Linked DNA regions of Mus musculus. The protein of the gene in region 2 interacts with the protein of the main gene of each other region in a biochemical or structural test. Links are inferred from orthologs where the notes say so. Each region holds a gene or a part of one and is shown on either strand. Other genes may lie near its edges.

Region 1 (5,874 bases), on a different chromosome or scaffold from region 2:
CAAGCTTCATGTTTCTCGAGGGGAATGGTCCACATTTTCAGAATCCATCATGCTCAAGAGAGGGCATGAAGGACAGCACGAGACACCTCAAGGAGTCTCAGAAGAGTAGAATCCTGCTTCTTCACAGAAGGTGCAATGTATGCACTCCTCCATGAACAGTAAAACTGCATATGTGAAAACTGTTTGTGGCGTTTAAAAGATAAAATCTCAAATATCACCAAAGGTAAGGTTCTTCAGACACCATATGTGAGCAATTCTGTCACGTGTCAATGGAACTAAACGGTATGAAGCATTCAGACCTGTGTGTGCTTCGGTTTAATGCCCTGACTGAAGTGTAGTGCTGAAATGCTATAGAAGCAGGTTTGACTCTGGTGAGGCCTTAAGCTACACTGCATCACAATGATCCGAGAAGTGATACTTTCAGTGATTTGGGATTAGGATTTAATAACAACTCTCTCAAGTGCTCAGACCAGGATGCCAGGTGGAAGAAATAATTTTGTATCACAGCAGTGAACAGTCTGGAAATAGAAATTTAAAAAGAATAGTACTTTGAATATCTAGTAAGTCAATGAGTAAAAGATATTTTAACGCATTTGATTTTCATTCCCTTACTAGTTACCTAATATCTACCTCTGCCTAACACAGTGAATACTTTTGCACGTTATCCTTCCTCTGACATTTAAAGTATCTACCACAACCCTTTTAACTCAGAACCCTTGCTTTCAACCTCTGTGACATCTCTCTTTTGGTTTCCTCCTTTATTTATGGCTCAGTTAAGGTATCGCTGTTCTGTGTACACACTGTAAACAAGCCTGGAGAGAGTGAATGGCATGGTAATTTTTAGCTGACTATTTTTCTCAGTCACTGGACGGCTGAATATTTGAAAACAGAGCAGTAATCTTTGAAATCTGTAATTCCAGTTCTAGTGGTAAACACCTACTATAAACAATGTGACTTAATACTTTTTTAAAAAAAAAGATGTATTTATCTATTTAATGTATGTGAGTACACTGTAGCTGTACAGATGGTTGTGAGCCTTCATGTAGTTGTTGGGAATTAAATTTTGGATCTTTGCTCGCTTCAGTCAACCCTGCTCGCTCAGTCCCTGCTCGCTTTCGCCCAAAGATTTATTTATTATTATAAATAAGTACACTGTAGCTGTCTTCAGACACACCAGAAGAGGGCATCAGATTTCATTACGAGTGGTTGTAAGCCACCATATGGTTGCTGGGATTTGAACTCAGGACCTTTGGAAGAGCAGTAAGTGCTCTTACCCACTGAGCCATCTCACCAGCTTGTCTTAATGCTTTTCAAAGTACATAATAAATGAAAATTAAGAACTGGGCATGGTAGTCCATATTTATAATTCCAGCCTTAACAGACCAATGCAGAGGATTACAAGTTGAAGGCCAGAATGGGATATATAGCAAGATGTTACTTGAAAAGGAAGAAAATGAAGGCTCTGAAACTACAATGATATAATTTCATCAATATAATATTAAACTCTGAGTCGTCTGTGGGATATAGACTGCTTTTATTGTTGAAATTTCATCTTATAAGGGGGGGAAAAAATCACAGGCTTCAAAACATACCTAGCCACTGTTGCTGAGATACTTCACACCAGTATTTTCTCACAGAAAGAATGTCTTTGAGTAGTATGTTGCTACAGTCAGCTCCATACGTTAGACCATTAGATGAGTCTTTCACTGTATCCATGACATAATTCAAGAGGTCTTGACATTTTAGCCTGGGTGCTCCTATTTAAAAATAAAACAAAATAGTAAAAATGTATAGATCATAAAAATAAAGACTCCTTCAGAGTGCCAACTTTTTTTGTTGTTTTGTTTTTCGAGACAGGGTTTCTCTGTGTAGCCCTGGCTGTCCTGGAACTCACTTTGTAGACCAGGCTGGCCTCGAACTCAGAAATCCACCTGCCTCTGCCTCCAAAGTGCTGGGATTAAAGGCGTGCACCACCACGCCCAGCTAAGTGCCAACTTCTTTAAGTGATTCCATTCAGCAAGTTTCTCTTAACTCACTCTCATAGTTTCTCTCAACAGGGTAGCCCCTAAGTAAAATTCAACTGGTTGGCCATTTTGTTAATAAAGTTTAACTGGAACACAATCACATTTCTGCATTTAATACTGTAAATGACAAGAAATGAGTATCTGCAATGGATAATATATGACCCAGAAAGTTAAAGAAAAAGAAAACATTTGCTAGATAGCACCATTAAAGATTAAATTTACCAACCTCTAAAAATACAGCAAAAATAGATTAATTTTTATACTGAACTCACAATTTGTGGCACTGGAATTAAAAGGATTCTAAGTCACTGAGCAGCTTTATGAATAAATTTATTAAAATAATCTTGAAATATTCTATTAAGAATAGCCTAGCTACTCTAAAAAGCAAGATTATTTCCATTACATCTAAACAGAAGACAAATAGCATACATATAGAAAAGGCTGAAGTTTTAACAGCACAATAGTTTAGATTCTGAAAATTCATTGCTAATAAATGTTCTTCTAAAATGGGTATGTGCATGGGTGTTTTGCTTCCATGTATGTCTGTGCACTGCATGCATGCAGTGCCTCAGAAATCAGAAGAAGGCTCCAGATCTTTAAGGACTGAATTTATACATGGTTGAGAGCTCCCATGTGGGTGCTAAGAATCAAATCCAAGTCTTCCGGAAAGGCAGCCAGTGTAATCTCCCCCACCCCTAAATGTATATTTTTAAAGATCACAAAATTACATTTAAAAACAAAATTATGCCAGGAACAGTATTACACACCAATAATCCAAATAGTCCTTGGTTAGGGCAAGATTCTGGTTAAGGTATCATTCTTCACTATACAGTAAGTAAGTTTAAGACCATCTTGGTGGGGCTGGAGAGATGGCCCAGTGGTTAAGAGCACTGACTGCTCTTCCAGAGGTCCTGAGTCAAATCCCAGCAACCACATGGTGGCTCACAACCATCCGTAATGAGATCTGACACCCTCTTCTGGAGTGTCTGAAGACAGCTATAGTGTACACATAAATATATAAATCTTAAAAAATAAAAGTGACCATCTTGGGCCACAAGGAAACCCTATCTAAAGAAAAGGGAGGGCAGGGTTTAAGTTTACCTTTAGGGTGTGTCAGCCTGTAACTCCAGGTAAAGGCTATAGCCAAGGCTACAGAAATTAAAATGTTTATTTTGTAGTTTCCAATTTGTCTTAGTCAGGGTTTCTATTCCTGCACAAACATCATGACCAAAAAGCAAGTTGGGGAGAAAAGGGTTTTTTCAGCTTACACTTCCACACTGCTGTTCATCACCAAAGGAGGTCAGGACTGGAACTCAAGCAGATCAGGAAGCAGGAGCTGATGCAGAGGCCATGGAGGGATATTCCTTACTGGCTTGCTTTTTATAAAATCATACTGACATCGAAACTAAAAGACCATGGTTTCTTCAGTACTGACTTCATTTTGAAATTGAACTACAGGTAGGATGAAACTCAATATGCATAAGTAAAATGTGTTAGATTAGCATTTTCTTAATGATGAGACTGGCTACACTCAGGAGGGTCAGGCTATGGTAAGTACGCAATGCTATCACAGTATAAATAGCAGCTTTCACTCATGGCTTATGATTCCGGGCGTGTGACCCATGACAATGCCCACGTCTGCATGATCCTTTTCTATAGTCCTTGGCTATCTCTCCCACAGTTTCTGAAATACTTTTTTATATACAGTATTTGTTGTACTGTCAGATTTTGGAAAGGAATAATTTACCACAAATGCCCAAGACCAACAATAGACAATAAATAAAGTTAACTTCATAAATATTAAGATGAAATCTTAATTTTCTGTCTCCTTTTGCCCAGAACATTCTCTTTCTCTGCCAAACACAATTGTTTTAAAATTTATGTTTTTATTTCCTAATTCTCTCAGTCGAGATTAAAACTCAGTAGCACAGTACTGCCCAGCATGCATAAACCATGGGTTTTTGTACCTACCATTGCAAAAGAACAAACAAAAATAACATTTAAAAAAAAAAAACAAGTAAATAGACTAAATTTGACTACAAGAGGCTAGTGTTATCTCAAAATAATAAATGTAAAGAATAAATGCTGGGGTGATAGCTTAGTTGGTAAAATGCTTACCTTACAAGGATGAGGACCTACATTTGACCTGCCAGACCCTACATAAAAAAGTTGAGCATTGTGGCATGCACTTGTAATCCTAGCACAAAAAAGACAGGACTCAGGGGCTTGTTGACCAGAAAACCTGGACTATTTAGCAACCTCCAAAACACAAGCAGACCTCCCATTTACCAAAATACCCGTGTGCACCCACCACATATATGCGTGAGCACGAAAATGAATGAATGAATGAGTAAGTACAGAGCCAGCATGGGGGCACATATTTGCAATCCAGGAACTGAAGAAGATATGAGGCACCAGGATCACATATCTGAGGCCAACCTGGGCTACACTGAAAGACCCTATTTCAAAAAACAAAACTGAAACAAATATGCTGTAGGCTGTACCAACTAGATAATACTACAAGACTGATGCCACTCTTTAAGAAATAACAAACTCAAGAATATTAAAGAGAAAGTGAAATTAAAACTATGTCAATGAGCTGAAGGAATTAGGTCCATTTAATTTAGGGAAAGATCACTCAGGAATGCTATGGTTATTTTCAAATACATCAAATGATATCATGTGGAAATAAATACCAGGTTTTCTGTGTATAATTTATGCAGCTAGAGGGGTGGAGATATGGCTTACTGGTTAAGAGCATTTGATGCTCTTGCAGAGGATCTGGGTTTGGTTCCCAGCACTCACATGTAACTACCCAGTTCCAGAGGATTCTCCTGACTTCTTCAAGAACTGGAATATGTAGTGTATTTACATACATGCAGACAGAACCACTCATACACATAAATAAGCAAACCTTAAAAAAAAAAAAAAAAAGGAGATGGAGAGATGGCTCCACGGTTGAGAGCACTCACTGACTGCTCTTCCAGAGGTCCTGAGTTCAGTTCCCAGCAACCACAGGGTGGCTCACAACCATCTGTAATGGGATCTGATGCCCTATTCTGATGTGTTGGAAGACAGTGACAGTGTGCTCACATATATAAAACAAAAAAATCTTTAAAAATAAAAAGAGCAGTAATCGATGAAAGTAAACTTTAAAAACAATGTTTTTTTTTACACATTTTCTGAGTATTTACTTTGTGTGCACTCACATGCTCACACGTGCACTAAATCAGCCATGCCTTGGTGCCTGTGTAGGGGTCATAGGACAACTTGGAAGCGTTGGTTTTCTCCATCGTTTCGGTTCTTGGGCTCAAACGGAGGCCACCAGGCTTGCTGGCAAAGATTCTTTTTTTTTTTTTTTGGTTTTTCGAGACAGGGTTTCTCTGTGTAGCCCTGGCTGTCCTGGAACTCACTTTGTAGACCAGGCTGGCCTCGAACTCAGAAATCCGCCTGCCTCTGCCTCCCGAGTGCTGGGATTAAAGGCGTGCGCCACCACGCCCGGCACTGGCAAAGATTCTTTACCTGGCAAGCCATCTCACTGGCCTGACAGCAATTTATACCCTTAAAGTTATTCAGCCTCCTTAAGACTGCACTTCTGCTGATGTATAAAAACACGTAGAGGGAATACAAGAATGGGGAACTGAAACATTAATTTTTAATCTTTCCACTTCTGAGATTAAACATTTTATGCTAAATTACTCTAAATTTTGGACCTACTATATGAAAAGCCAGTGTAATGCTAGGAATTTCAAGGAGAACTTAATTTTTATGCTACTGTATTAAGATCAAATTTATGCTACGCTAACTCCTGAAGCATTTGTGTGTAATACATGATGTTGTTTACGTTTTT
Region 2 (6,562 bases):
AATTCAGAAATCCGCCTGCCCCTGCCTCCCATGTGCTGGGATTAAAGGTGTGCGTCACCACTGCTCAGCTTTTTTTTTTTTTTTTTTTTTTATTCTTTTAAAGCATAGTCCTGGGATTTGAACCCAAACCTTGGCTAATACAAGGATGTGTTTTATCACCACTATGAAGTAAGGATTCAGCACTCCTTTCTTTCCAGGGAGTGATTCCAACTGAGTCTGTGCAGTCTGCTACTGTGCAGCCCTGACTGTAGGATGCAAACTGGACTCTGTATCTTTTTGCTTTTGTCTGGAGGTTGGGATCATAGTTGAGTACAGCCACAGCGGGCCCTCCCATTTTAATCTTTAGTTCAACTCTGCGCACACTTCGGTACCTCTCCAATCTCTGAGACAGGGGAGGAAAAAGGCAGAGTGGAGGGGCTGGAGAGATGGCTCAGTGGTTAAGAGCACAGACTGCTCTTCCAGAGGTCCTGAGTTCAATTCCCAGCAACCACATGGTGACTCACAGCTATCCGTAATGAGATCTGATGCCCTCTTCGGGTGTGTCTGAAGACAGCTACAGTGTACTTACATACAATCAATAAGTCTTAAAAAAAGAGAAAAGGCAGGGGGGGGGGGACAAAGTACAGAGAACACTTCTTGGTGTCTCTCCCTCAAATTCTCAGCCTGAATTAAATTTTTGTTTTCTTGAGACAGGGTCTCACTGCTTAGCCTATGTTGGGTTCCCACTTTTGACCCTTTTCCTTCAGCCTACTGAACACTGGGATTTTAGACATAGGCTACTACACTAGGTTTGTTTTGTTCTTAATTGCTTTCGGTTTTTGAGACCTAGTCTCATGTAGCCCAGAGTCTCATCAAACGTACAGGCTCAGCTGTACCCTCTGAGTGCTGGACTCACAGGCATAACACCAACACACCTGGCTTGTTTTGTATTTATTTTCTCCGTTAAATAAATAATTTATTTGCGATGAGATGTTCCCTATTTGTGTGGTTGGCCTCCAAGTGGGGTATCATCTCCTACGGTTGTCTAGCATGCTTTTAATCCTGGCATTGGTGAGGCAGAGGGGGTTGGTGGAATTCCAGGCAGGCCAGGCGAGACTTCAAGGTGAGGCTAAATTAAAAAACAAACAAACAAACAAACAAAAACCTCTCCCAGTTCCTGTAAGTTTGGCCAATGGATTTTCCAGAAGTCTCAGCCCTCAAACCTCCCTATACCGTAAACTTGTCCGTTTCTGTTTGTTGATGTTTAAAAACAAGGTCCTTGTAGCTACTGCTAGTCTTGAATTCCTGAACCTGTGTTTTCCACTTTACAAGTGCTTAGATCACAGACAGGCATCTGCAACTTCACTCCTGTTTGACCCCCGCCTCCACCCTTATCTTCTCTCCAGTCTGTAACTTTATTTCCTCTCCGTCTCAGGAAAACTCCTAAAATCTCACTAGGTACTACTTATACCTATGGCCTACACTTATCCATCTTTGTAGTTGTTTTGAATCAGTCTCGGCAAATTGCCTAAGATGGCTTTGAACTGTGGTCCTCAGCCTCAGACCCCCCCAAGCTGGCTGGAAATTACAGCCCCGCAGACGCGGCCCCAAGCCTAGATCGCTCGGGTTACGAAGCCCGAGCTGCTTTCCCGTCACGACGCGCCGCCCGTACCAGTTCATGAGGCTGAAGTAGTCACGAGTGGGGTCAGGAGGCTGCAGAGCGCGGCAGTGTGAGCAGAAGAACTCATCCCCACACCCGACTTCCCTTGCGTGACCGCAGTTCCAGCACTGCGGTGCAATGCTCTTCCCCGCGGCGGCATTGCTGCCCAAAAGTCTCCTTCCCAGGAACCCTGCCAGCCGCACCTCCCACACACCCAGCAGGGCACGGGCTCCGCATCCCCACATTGGGACGGCCGCTCGCTGACCTAGGTAGCAAGACCCGAGGGAAAGGAGGAAAGACCGTCTCGCTGCTGATTGGTTAAGGGAGTCGAGGAGGCGGGATTAGCCGCGGGAAACCAAGACGTCGAGTCCCGTTCTGCATGTTAAACTACAACTCCCAGCAAGCCTTGAGACTAATCGCGGCAGTCATCTTCGGGCTTTCTTACTGGTCCTGCCGGGGAGGAAGGCTTTTTGATTGGTTGAGGGTGGAGTTTGTATCCGTAGGTTTAGCGCCACTCCACTGGCGGAGGCTGTGCAGTGTTTGCGGCTCCTGGTGGTCTCACGCGGTGAGTCATAAGTGGGAAACTTTAAGTGTTTGAGGAGTCGAATACCGTTCTCATGCTTCTTGTGCAAATGGGCCCTCTGCAGCTTCCGCTTTGTCTGCTTTCTTGTGCGAGCGAGGGGGCGCTGTGCATAGTCAATTCTTCCTTTTTATCTGCCCTTGGGGCGCGCGGGGGGGAAGCGGGGGGGAAGTTCACTTTCCTTGTTCCTTGTGAGCTGAAACAGGTCTGGGCACATAGGAAGGCACAACGCCGGGCTGTTCGTTGCCAGAGCGAAGTAGTTTTCATAACGAACATTATAAATGTTCATGCCAGCCCCTAGATGGCTTTCCCCAAATACCTACTGAGAACCCGATCTTCGCTGCTAGGCTCTGCAGGAACTGAAGAGGGTACGTCTGCATACTCAGCATACGTGAGGGGTAGGATGGCAAGGAATGGATAGGAGACAACCAAGCCATTCTCAGCTTCTGTACATGAAGGAAGATGGTGTAATGCTTTGTAAGTGGCCTCTGGAATTCTATTCATAATCCTGGGATTTTGCTATGGTCACTTTTTTTTCTCCCCACTCATGAATGGGCCTGTCTTTCATTTTGAGGTGGTCATAATGTGCCCGTTCCTTTAAATTTCTTTATGTATTTTTTTTAATCACGTGTCTAAGTCTGTGCAGTGCGCACGGGGGCCAATAGAGGGCATTGTATCACCAAGAGCTGGAATTACAGGTGTTTGTGATCTTTTGGATGTGGGTGCTGGGAACTGTACTCTTGACTCCTTAACTGTCTTCATTTTGTATGTTTGACAATACTGGGAGTGGGATCCAGTACTTTGCTTCTGTTGGAGAAGTGATGAACCATCTACCATTGAGTTATAGCAGCCACATGACTAATTTTGGGTAGAGATTTACTTTACTTTTAATTATGTTATCTGTGTGGGAAAGTGCAAGTGTGAGCTCTGGTGATTGCAGAGGCCAAGATCCACTACAGAGCCACTGACTTTGGAGTTATAGGAAACCTCGAGCTGCCAGATTTGGTGCTGAGAACGTAGGGAAACTTGGGTTCTGCAAGAATAGTATGTGCACTTTCCTGCCGAGTCCTCTCCTGCTCCCTCCCCTTCTCCACTCTCGAATCCAGAGCCTTGTTCCTTATTGTTGGACTCTTGTTTTCGAGGTCGGATATGAAGAGTCATCATCAGTCCCACAGCAGCACCTCCTCGAAGGCTCATGACAGTGCTTCCTGTTCACAGTCCCAGGGTGGCTTCAGCCAGCCCCAAGGCACTCCTTCTCAGTTGCACGAGCTCTCACAGTATCAGGGTTCGTCCAGCTCCTCTACCGGCACAGTGCCGTCCTCCAGCCAGTCCTCGCACTCCAGTTCTGGGACTCTGAGCTCGCTGGAGACAGTGTCTACCCAGGAACTCTGTTCTATTCCTGAGGACCAAGAACCTGAAGAACCTGGTCCTGCCCCTTGGGCTCGGCTATGGGCTCTTCAGGATGGATTCTCCAATCTAGGTAAGGCACTTTGTTATATGATATAGTGTGTGTTCAGAGAAACAGTTAAAGAAGGTGGTTAGGAAAAAAAAAAAGAAGGTGGTTAGGTTGTTGCAGCAGAAGTCTCAGGGCCCCTGTGGTAGAGTTTATCTCCTCCTGGTGGCCCTGTTCATACTGAAGATCAGATTTAGGCCTTACACATAGTAGAGAGCTCTTACATTGAACTACATCCAAGGTCCTATCCCTGGCTACCTTATTTTTATTTTTAAATAGAATCTTGCTAAATTTCATAGGCTAGCCTCAAATTTTTCTTTTTTCTTCAGAAAAAAGATTCTATTGTAGCCTGAGTTAGCCTTGAACTCACTATGTAGCTCAGCCTGGCTGTGAACTTTTGATCTTCCTGCCTCTACTTCCTAAGTGCTGGGTTTATAGGCACACATTTTTATCAGGCTCTACTAGTTTGTTTGTGAGACAAGGAATTCTGCAGCCCAGGTGGGCTTGGAACTCACAGTGTAGTTCCTTGGGGCCTTGAACTTGCATTGATCTTGTCTCAGTTGGGATTACACATATCGACCATATGTGGTTCAAATTTATTCATTTGAATGTGGAGACCTAGCTCATTCTGAGACAGTTTTGAAAGATACTTGTATTAGTCAGGGTTCTCTAGAGGAACAGAACTGATAGAATGAGTATGTATGTATGTATATATAGGGACTAATTAGAGTGGCTTACATGCTATGGTCCAGCTAATTCAACAATGGCTACCCAGGGGAGGTGTAAGAATCCAGTAAGAATCCAGGCAGGATGTCTTAGTTGGTCTTTAGTATACATTACTATCTTGTAGAAGTATGCTCTAGGGGGTTGGAGAGATGGCTCAGTGGTTAAGAGCACTGACTGCTCTTCCAAAGGTCCTGAGTTCAAATCCCAGCAACCATGGTGGCTTGCAACCATCTGTAATGAGATCTGACACCCTCTTTTGGGGTATCTGAAGACAACTACCATGTATTTACATATAATAAATTAAAAAAAAAGTATGCTCACTAGTGCTCAGTGAAGGAATGAACTTGCCAGTAAGAGCGAGATCAAACTGGCAAAGCTTCCTTTTTTCATGCCCATTATATAGGCTGCCAGCAGAAGGTGTGGTCCAGCTTAAAGGTGGATCTTCCCACCTCAAGAGATCTGGATTAGCCCAGATGTGGTAGTAAAAGGAAGCAGAGGCAAAGTGAGCTCTGAGTTTGAGGGTAGCCTGGGAGTTCCAGGATTGCTAGGGCTACACAGAGGGACTCTGTCTCAGAAAAACAAAACAAAACAAAACAAAAAAACCCCCAAACTAGGGGACAGGATCTATTAAATTGGTTACATGATATGGCCTGAATCATCCATTCGTAGTTCTCTTCATGATGGAGAGAGTTAAGACTTAGGAGCTACTCAGTCCACAAGACTAGATGTCTCAGCCAGGAGTGCCAGTTTGGCACTGACAGCCTGGAGGATTCCTAGAGAGCGAGCTGATCTTCACTTTGTATTGGAAAGAAGCAGCGAAGGGCAGTAGCAGAAATCATGGCATAGAAGCACTTGCCAGCAAGAAGCGAAGGCAAGCAAGCAACACTTTTTCCCTTGGACCTCCCTGTCTTGGCTTGTAGGAGGTGACACACACTCTGTTGTAAAGTCTCTTCCCTTCAGTTCATACTTCACAGGTCCACCCAGAGGGCTGTCTCTTAGTTGTTTTCAGATTCAGTCTGGTTGACAGTCAAGGTTAACCATCAGTTATTTTTCCATGTCCCCAGGCTGGCTCACCATGTTCTCATCTCATCTCCTGAATGCAAAGGTTATAGATGAGGTAGTGTACCCTGTTGTATATAGTTTCTACTACCCTGCTTTAAGCGCCGGGTGGACCTTGCTACCAGTCACCATCCTGGATCCACAGATGAAAGTCAGACAGATCCCCTGACCCCCCACATGTACACACAAACACACACCAGCTTATTTTTAATATGCTTTTTAGCTCAATGGCTTCTTTTTTTTAATTAGATATTTTCTTTATTTACATTTCAAATGTTATCCCCTTTCCTAGTTTCCCTTCCAAAAACCCCCATCCTCTCCCCCCTTCGACTGTTCCCCAGCCCTCCCACACCCACTTCCTGGCCTAGGCATTCTCCTATACTGGGGCATAGAACCTTCACAAGACTAAGGGCCTCTCTTCCCATCGATGACCAGCTAGGCCATCCTCAGCTACATATGTAGCTAGAGCCTTGAGTCTCTCTGTGTGTTTTCTTTTTTTTTTTTTTTTTTTTTTTTTTGGTTTTTAGAAATCCGCCTGCCTCTGCCTCCCAAGTGCTGGGATTCAAGGTGTGCGCCACCACGCCTAGCCCGTGTATTTTCTTTGATTGGTGGTTTAGTCCCAGGGAGCTCTGGAGGTACTGGTTAGTTTATATTGTTGTCCCTCCTAGAGGGCTGCAAACCCCTTCAGCTCCTTGGGTCCTTTCTCTAGCTCCTTCATTGGGGACCCTTTGCTCCATCTAATGGATGACTGTGAGTATCCTCTTCTGTATTTGCCAGGCACTGGCAGAGCCTCTCAGGAGACAGCTATATCAGTCTCCTGTCAGCAAGCTCTTGTTGCTTATTTTATTTTAGTTTTGTTTTGTATTATGATACTTATCTACCTGCTGTGTTGATAAGGCTGTCTGCGAGCCCCTGAACCTCCTGCCTCTACCCCTTTAATAGTACAGCTGACTGTTTATTTAGAGCACAGAGCCTTAGTTTTTAGCCTGGCACAGTTTAGAACTCACTAAGTAGACTGTTCTAGCCTTGAACTCAGAGCGGTTCTGTCTTGGGCTCCTGAATGCTGGGTTATAGGTGTGGACTGCTTTTTAATCACGTCTGAATC
Region 3 (5,874 bases), on a different chromosome or scaffold from region 2:
GAGACCAGCCTGGTCTACAAAGTGAGTTCCAGGACAGCCAGGGCTATACAGAGAAACCCTGTCTCGAAAAACCAAAACCAAAAAAAAAGAAAAAGAAAAAACAAGTGTTTATGGATCACAAAATAGCGGATCAGAGAAAGTTCAAGAAAGCCCAAGTAACTCCAGACAAATGGAAACAAGGGGAGTTTGTTCTAAACTCTACCATATTCCTTTCTTTTTATTTCAGGAGACAGGACAGTCAAGGATGAGATAAAACCTGTGAACCTCTTTCTTCCACTTCCCAAATGTTGAGATCACAGGTGCACACTACCAAGTTTGGCCTCTAACCTAGCTCTCCATTAGGACTAAAGAAGCTGGTGCTGGAAGGATGGCTCCATGGGTAAGAGCAAATACTGCTCTTGGAGAAACTTTGAGTTTAATTTCCAGTATCTCCATCAGACAGCTCACAGCTGCCTGTAGTTCCAGCTTCACATGATCCTAAGGCCCTGGCCTCCTAGGGCAGCTATATGCATGTGTGCATACCACCCCGCTCCACAAAATTAAAAAAAGTGATTTAAACTAAAATGACAGCTGCCCAGTATTTAAATGAGGGATTATGATGTCCTAGACAGCAACAAAATCTTTACAACTATAGTCCCATTTAAGGCACACCACTCGCTTCTGGTAGTCAATCTCTTTTTTCTTCATTGTGACTAAGTGTTCCCAGTGTTCATTCTATCTCAGTCCCAGGTGTAGCTGGGACTACGTGTGTCGACATAGCCAAATAATCTTTTGCTTTTTGTTTCTTGAAACTGATGCTTAAGGGGTACCAAGATCATACACCTCATCTATGCAATGCCCTACCTTGAAAACGAATTTGGTGTAGTGGCAAACACTTGTGATCCTACAGGCAGGAGCAAAAAGAATTCAAGACTAGTTTTGACAAATTTGAGGCTAGCCTAGGGATTTAAGGGATTCTGTCTCAAAAAAAAATTGCGAGTAACAGCAAACTCTCCAGTCCAAACAAAAGCCAAACCAGTAGATAAGCACAGGCTTTTAAAGTCTGCATCCCCAGCATCCATAATACAGGTGCTCTTAATGCTTAGGCAGTTACAGATCTTAGCACTCTCACTCCCAAGTGTCTACCAAAACCAATCAGTTTCAGATATATTTTCAAACTATTATCATGTACTGAGGAACCTATAGTTAAATTCTAGTGTTTTTACATGTCCTTTGATGAGTATATCAACTTCTCTAATGAAACTTTCTAATCTGCCAAATGAGGCAACTCCAGTTAATTCATAGGCCTCAGCCATGAGCCATCAAACAATAACAGTAAACTTGCTTTTCTGTTTTTGAAACAGGATTTCATGTAGCCCAGGCTGTTCTTAAATCATAGCAGAGCTGAGCACAACCTTGAACTCCTGGCCCTCCTCCCTCTACCTTCCAGATGCCACAGCGCGCGCGCGCACACACACACACACACACACACACACACACACACACACACACACTCTCCATGTTGTAAATACGAAAGCCACACACACACACACACACACACACACACACACACACACTCTCCATGTTGTAAATACGAAAGCCAAACCACGTACCATCCGAGCTGGGGCTGAATTCTGCCTGTGTGTAAAGGGATCTTTACTCTCCTCGTAGATGTGACGAGATGCAGGTCGTATTGGCTTTTTAAATTCAAATGCTTCCTGCAAAACAACATATTTGAAATATTTTCTACTGTCCATAAAACAGCTCTAGGGCTGGTGGGGTGGCTTGGCTGGTAAATACACTTTCTGGGAAGCCTGAAGATGGATTAGAATCCCATCCCTGTACCCCACACAGTGGAGAGAGAACACACTCCTGAAAGCTGACCTGTCTTCATGTGCACCGCGGCACGCTCCCACCCAAGGCTTTCTCTTTCACTAAATAAAATTAAGGAAAATTTGTTGAGTCTAGAGAGATGGCTTAGCAGTAAGAGCAGAGTTCCTTTCAATTCATTCATTCTGTATTCTGTATTCTGAGACAGGGTTTCTTCCTGGAGCCGTGACTGTCCTGGACCTCAGTCTGTACACCATGCTGCCCTTGTCCACCTGCCTGTCTCCCAAGTGCTGGGATTAAAGATGTGCAACCCCCACAACTGGAGAACACAGTTCTAAAAGACCCAGGTTTGATTCCCAGTACCCACAGGTTGGCTTACAACCATCAGTAATTTGTTTCAGGGGATCTGACACCCTCTTCAGGCCTTTGCAGACACCAGGAACATACATGGTACACAGACATACACCAAAGCAGAACACCATGTGCAGAAAGATGCATGCCTATCTTTAAGTTACAGAAGCACACTTGTTATTAAGTACTAAAACCAGTAACTGCTAATATCAGTTTTTATTACTAAGTACTCTCTGAACATAAGCTTATCTAATCATCAAATACAACCTGCCTGTTCAGTAAGAAAACTACATCTACAGGTTCAATGGTGTGCCTACGATCTTGAAGCCAGAGAGGACCACTCCAGAAAGTTATTTAATCTATCTATTTCTCCTTTAGAGCAAAGCTTCCAGGAAGACAACCTTGGGAGAAGTCAAGTTTGAGTCAAGAGCTACATCTAGACTTTGGTCCAGTTGTACTGGAAAGGTTGACAAACTGCTCCAAGCAGTCAAGGAGGGAATCCATTTGCATGGAATACCTCATGATGTCTCCCTAAGTTGCCAGACAAAATCTGCTTTCATACAAGACGTAGGTTTTGTAAGGGTTATTGACTGGTATTTTGGCAGGAAATGGGAAACAACAAATATATGGAAATAGAGTGGCCGAGAGGCAAGCCAATCAATCTGACCAACTATTCTAGACAAGACACCCTGTACAGTTTAAGAGAGAAAGCCAGGCAGGGCACACATGGACTTCTGGATAAAACACACCATCCTCAAAGCAACCATTTCAGATATTCTCCACAGAACTTGCATGGCTTTGGATTTTAGCGTTTCAATCCAGTGTTTATAAATGTGACAGATACTCATCGGAGGAAATAAGGTACAGGAAAAAGGCGCTGGCCTAGCAAAACTCCAGCATCACAAAGCTAGGTAGAAGAAGCAAGATTCAAAATCAGATTTCTCTACTGAGAGGCTAGGTGTGGCCTTTCCATTAGTCAGGTTAGATGGCAGCCCAACCATGTCACTTGTCAGCTGCTGACAGACACTTAGGTTTCACTGCCAGCTGGGGTTGCCATGGTGATGCTATGCTTACATTTTCTTTATTTTCATCCTGGTCGATGAGGTGAAAGGTGTCGTGGTCTAGAGAATCAGAGTGGCTCCTCTTCAGGGCTGGGCTACATCCCAGGAGCTTCTGCTATCAAAGTAAAACAGAGAAATTGAGTTCACAGAGGCAAGCACAATGGAAAACTCAGGTTACCTTTTTCTTTTTTTAAGATAAGGTTTCACTTTGAAGACAAGGCTGGCCTTGAACTTGAGATGACCTTCCTGCCTCAGCCTCCCAAATGCTAAGATTACATGTTTGACCTATTATACCCAGCCAAAACTTTAATTCTTAAAGAAATGAAGTGGGGTTTGGAAAAACTAGCTTACCACCACATAAGTGCCCAGGGGTTCAACCTGCTCTAACTCAGAATGGCCTTCCACCTAATCAGACAAGGTGCATTGACCTCTTGGCAGGTATGATATAGTGCCATACCAACCCCCTAGTAACATTTGCATAAAAAGAACATTTCCTGGTTTGATAAAACTGAGGTGAGTACAAAGTCCACAAGAGGCTGTTACTGTTGAAGTTCCTCTAGGTAATACCTTACTGCCTATGTGTTTACAGGGATGTAGAAAAGCAATGCCCACTTTCTCATCGTAGGGAAAGGTGTTTGATGGAGCAATTTACAGGTATTAGCTCAAAACAACAGAACTTACAGGTAGGGAATTTATTCTCGTCAGGGAAATTTCAAGGCTGTAATGAGATCAAAAAGGTAAACATAAGAATAAAGAGATATTCATATGAGCAGATTCACATTGCTCAACCTAGAGTAGGGGCATGGCATGGTTCTCATTGTAGCATATACAAGAATAGTGTTCTCTGATCTCAGGAGCGCCCCAGATCGAAAAAACCAACCCAACCCAAACCCCAAGATGTCTCCTACAATACATACATCCGTTCATTTAAGGCCTAACGTCAAAAAGGAGAGCAGGGGAAATTACAGCTAACCTAAAGGGGGGGAAGTCCTGCAAACTGCTGGTATGAAGCAGCACTCATTCCCAGTAGTGTTTCTAGCATCCGAGCAACTCAGCAGGCACAGCTAACTACAGAGCTCTAGTCCACTGTATGAAGAACGTTATTCAAAAATTAAGTTTTGACCAGGAGCAACAGCGCATACCTTTAACCCAGCACCCATGAGGCAGGCAGGCAAGCCAGGGCTTCAAAATGAGATTCCATATCAAAAGCTAACCAACAAGTTTCTTCCTTTTGGGAGGTTCTAGGGATTCACCCTGCCTGGGGCCTCACATACCACACGAGCACTCTATCACCGAGTTTGCACTTTATTTATTTATTTATTTATTTATTTATTAATTAATTATATGTAAGTACACTGCAGCTGTCTTCAGACACCAGAAGAGGGAGTCAGATCTCATTAGGGATGGTTGTGAGCCACCATGTGGTTGCTGGGATTTGAACTCGGGACCTTTGGAAGAGCAGTCGGGTGCTCTTTGCACTTTGAGACAGGATCTTACTACATTGCCCAGACAGGCCTTGAGTGTCTGATCCTTTCGCCTTAACTTCCCGAGTAGCTGAGACCGCAGGCCTGTGCCACTGGGCTTACTTAAGGAAAACTTTCCTTCTAAGTAGAAAATTTTAAAGTAACGAATACATACTTTTCTTTACTGTCCAAGGGCCCAGGAGAATCTAGACAGAAACCTTTGAGAAATAAAAACAAAATTCTTAGGAAGTAATACACATTCTGGTGTTAAGCAACATTTCCTAAGTGCACCCATGGATCCTCTATTTGCAAATACCATCAAGGGAAACAAGATTGAAGAGGCCAACTAATATCAAGATTGACTGATTTTTTTTTCCCCAGATAGTACTGACCCCTCTAAGTTTTTGTGGAGTTATTTTTTCAAATGTACTCATTTAGGGGTATGAAAAATACAACCAGGTAAGTTCAGTTCCAAGGGGCCAATCTGGTGTATATAGTGACACTGTGTCTTCAAAAAGTAGCGTTAGAGAGATGTTTCAGAAGAGCACAATTGCTCTTGTAGAGGACCTGAGTTCAATTCCCAGCCACCACATGCTAACGCCAGTAACTCAGTTCCAAGGGATCCGACACCCTCTCCTGGCCTTTGAGGAAAGTACACACCACATGCACACACGAGAGGCATGTGAGCCAACATCCACATATATAAAAGCACACATTAAAAAAAAAAAAAAGAAAAAAGAACTGGAATAAAGATTTGGCGCTTCTTCTCTTCATAAACTGTCTCAGGAGCTTCCTCTGTACTCTACTAAAGGGTGTTTGTCACTTCACACCACACCACACCACACCACAATTTCTATGTGTACTGTTGCCAATTAAATTCCTAGGCAAGATGCTTCCCGAATGGCTGACTCCAGATGAATGTGAAGGCTGAACGGACACCTGGAGTGGTCAGGGGGATGGATGGTGGCCCATGCCTTTAACCACAGCACTCAAGAGGCAAGAGGCCAATGTGATCTACATGGTGAGACCCTGTCTCAAAATAAATAAATTGATTTAATTAAATTCTTAAAAATAAGTGGCTTAGTGGTTAGTAGCACTTGGTGCTCCTGTAGAGGGGACAAATTCAGTTCCCAGCAGCCATATCAGGCAGCTCACAATGGCCTGTAACTCCAGCTCCAGCGGCTCTGATG

Evidence for each region.
Region 1: of the proteins of Chek2 (region 2) and Atm, one has a biochemical effect on the other in vitro, tested with the Homo sapiens proteins (6 studies listed by BioGRID, with this or other methods). The link is inferred for Mus musculus from reciprocal best matches to the Homo sapiens genes CHEK2 and ATM.
Region 3: of the proteins of Chek2 (region 2) and Cdc25a, one has a biochemical effect on the other in vitro, tested with the Homo sapiens proteins (5 studies listed by BioGRID, with this or other methods). The link is inferred for Mus musculus from reciprocal best matches to the Homo sapiens genes CHEK2 and CDC25A.

Annotation. Positions count from the first base shown.
Region 1 is NC_000075.6:53,525,581-53,531,454, forward strand, and holds part of Atm (serine-protein kinase ATM), read right to left. Parts: intron 1,758-5,874; coding exon 1,593-1,757; intron 1-1,592.
Region 2 is NC_000071.6:110,837,845-110,844,406, forward strand, and holds the start of Chek2 (serine/threonine-protein kinase Chk2), read left to right. Parts: upstream 1-2,204; intron 2,205-2,566; exon of another isoform or gene 2,567-2,696; intron 2,697-3,361; 5' UTR 3,362-3,368; coding exon 3,369-3,699; intron 3,700-6,562. Other genes in the region: iron-sulfur cluster co-chaperone protein HscB isoform 1 precursor, read right to left, coding at 1,652-1,884. UniProt on the Homo sapiens protein: Serine/threonine-protein kinase which is required for checkpoint-mediated cell cycle arrest, activation of DNA repair and apoptosis in response to the presence of DNA double-strand breaks.
Region 3 is NC_000075.6:109,877,296-109,883,169, reverse strand, and holds part of Cdc25a (M-phase inducer phosphatase 1), read right to left. Parts: intron 4,903-5,874; coding exon 4,860-4,902; intron 3,940-4,859; coding exon 3,903-3,939; intron 3,337-3,902; coding exon 3,235-3,336; intron 1,698-3,234; coding exon 1,593-1,697; intron 1-1,592. UniProt on the Homo sapiens protein: Tyrosine protein phosphatase which functions as a dosage-dependent inducer of mitotic progression. Directly dephosphorylates CDK1 and stimulates its kinase activity. Also dephosphorylates CDK2 in complex with cyclin-E, in vitro.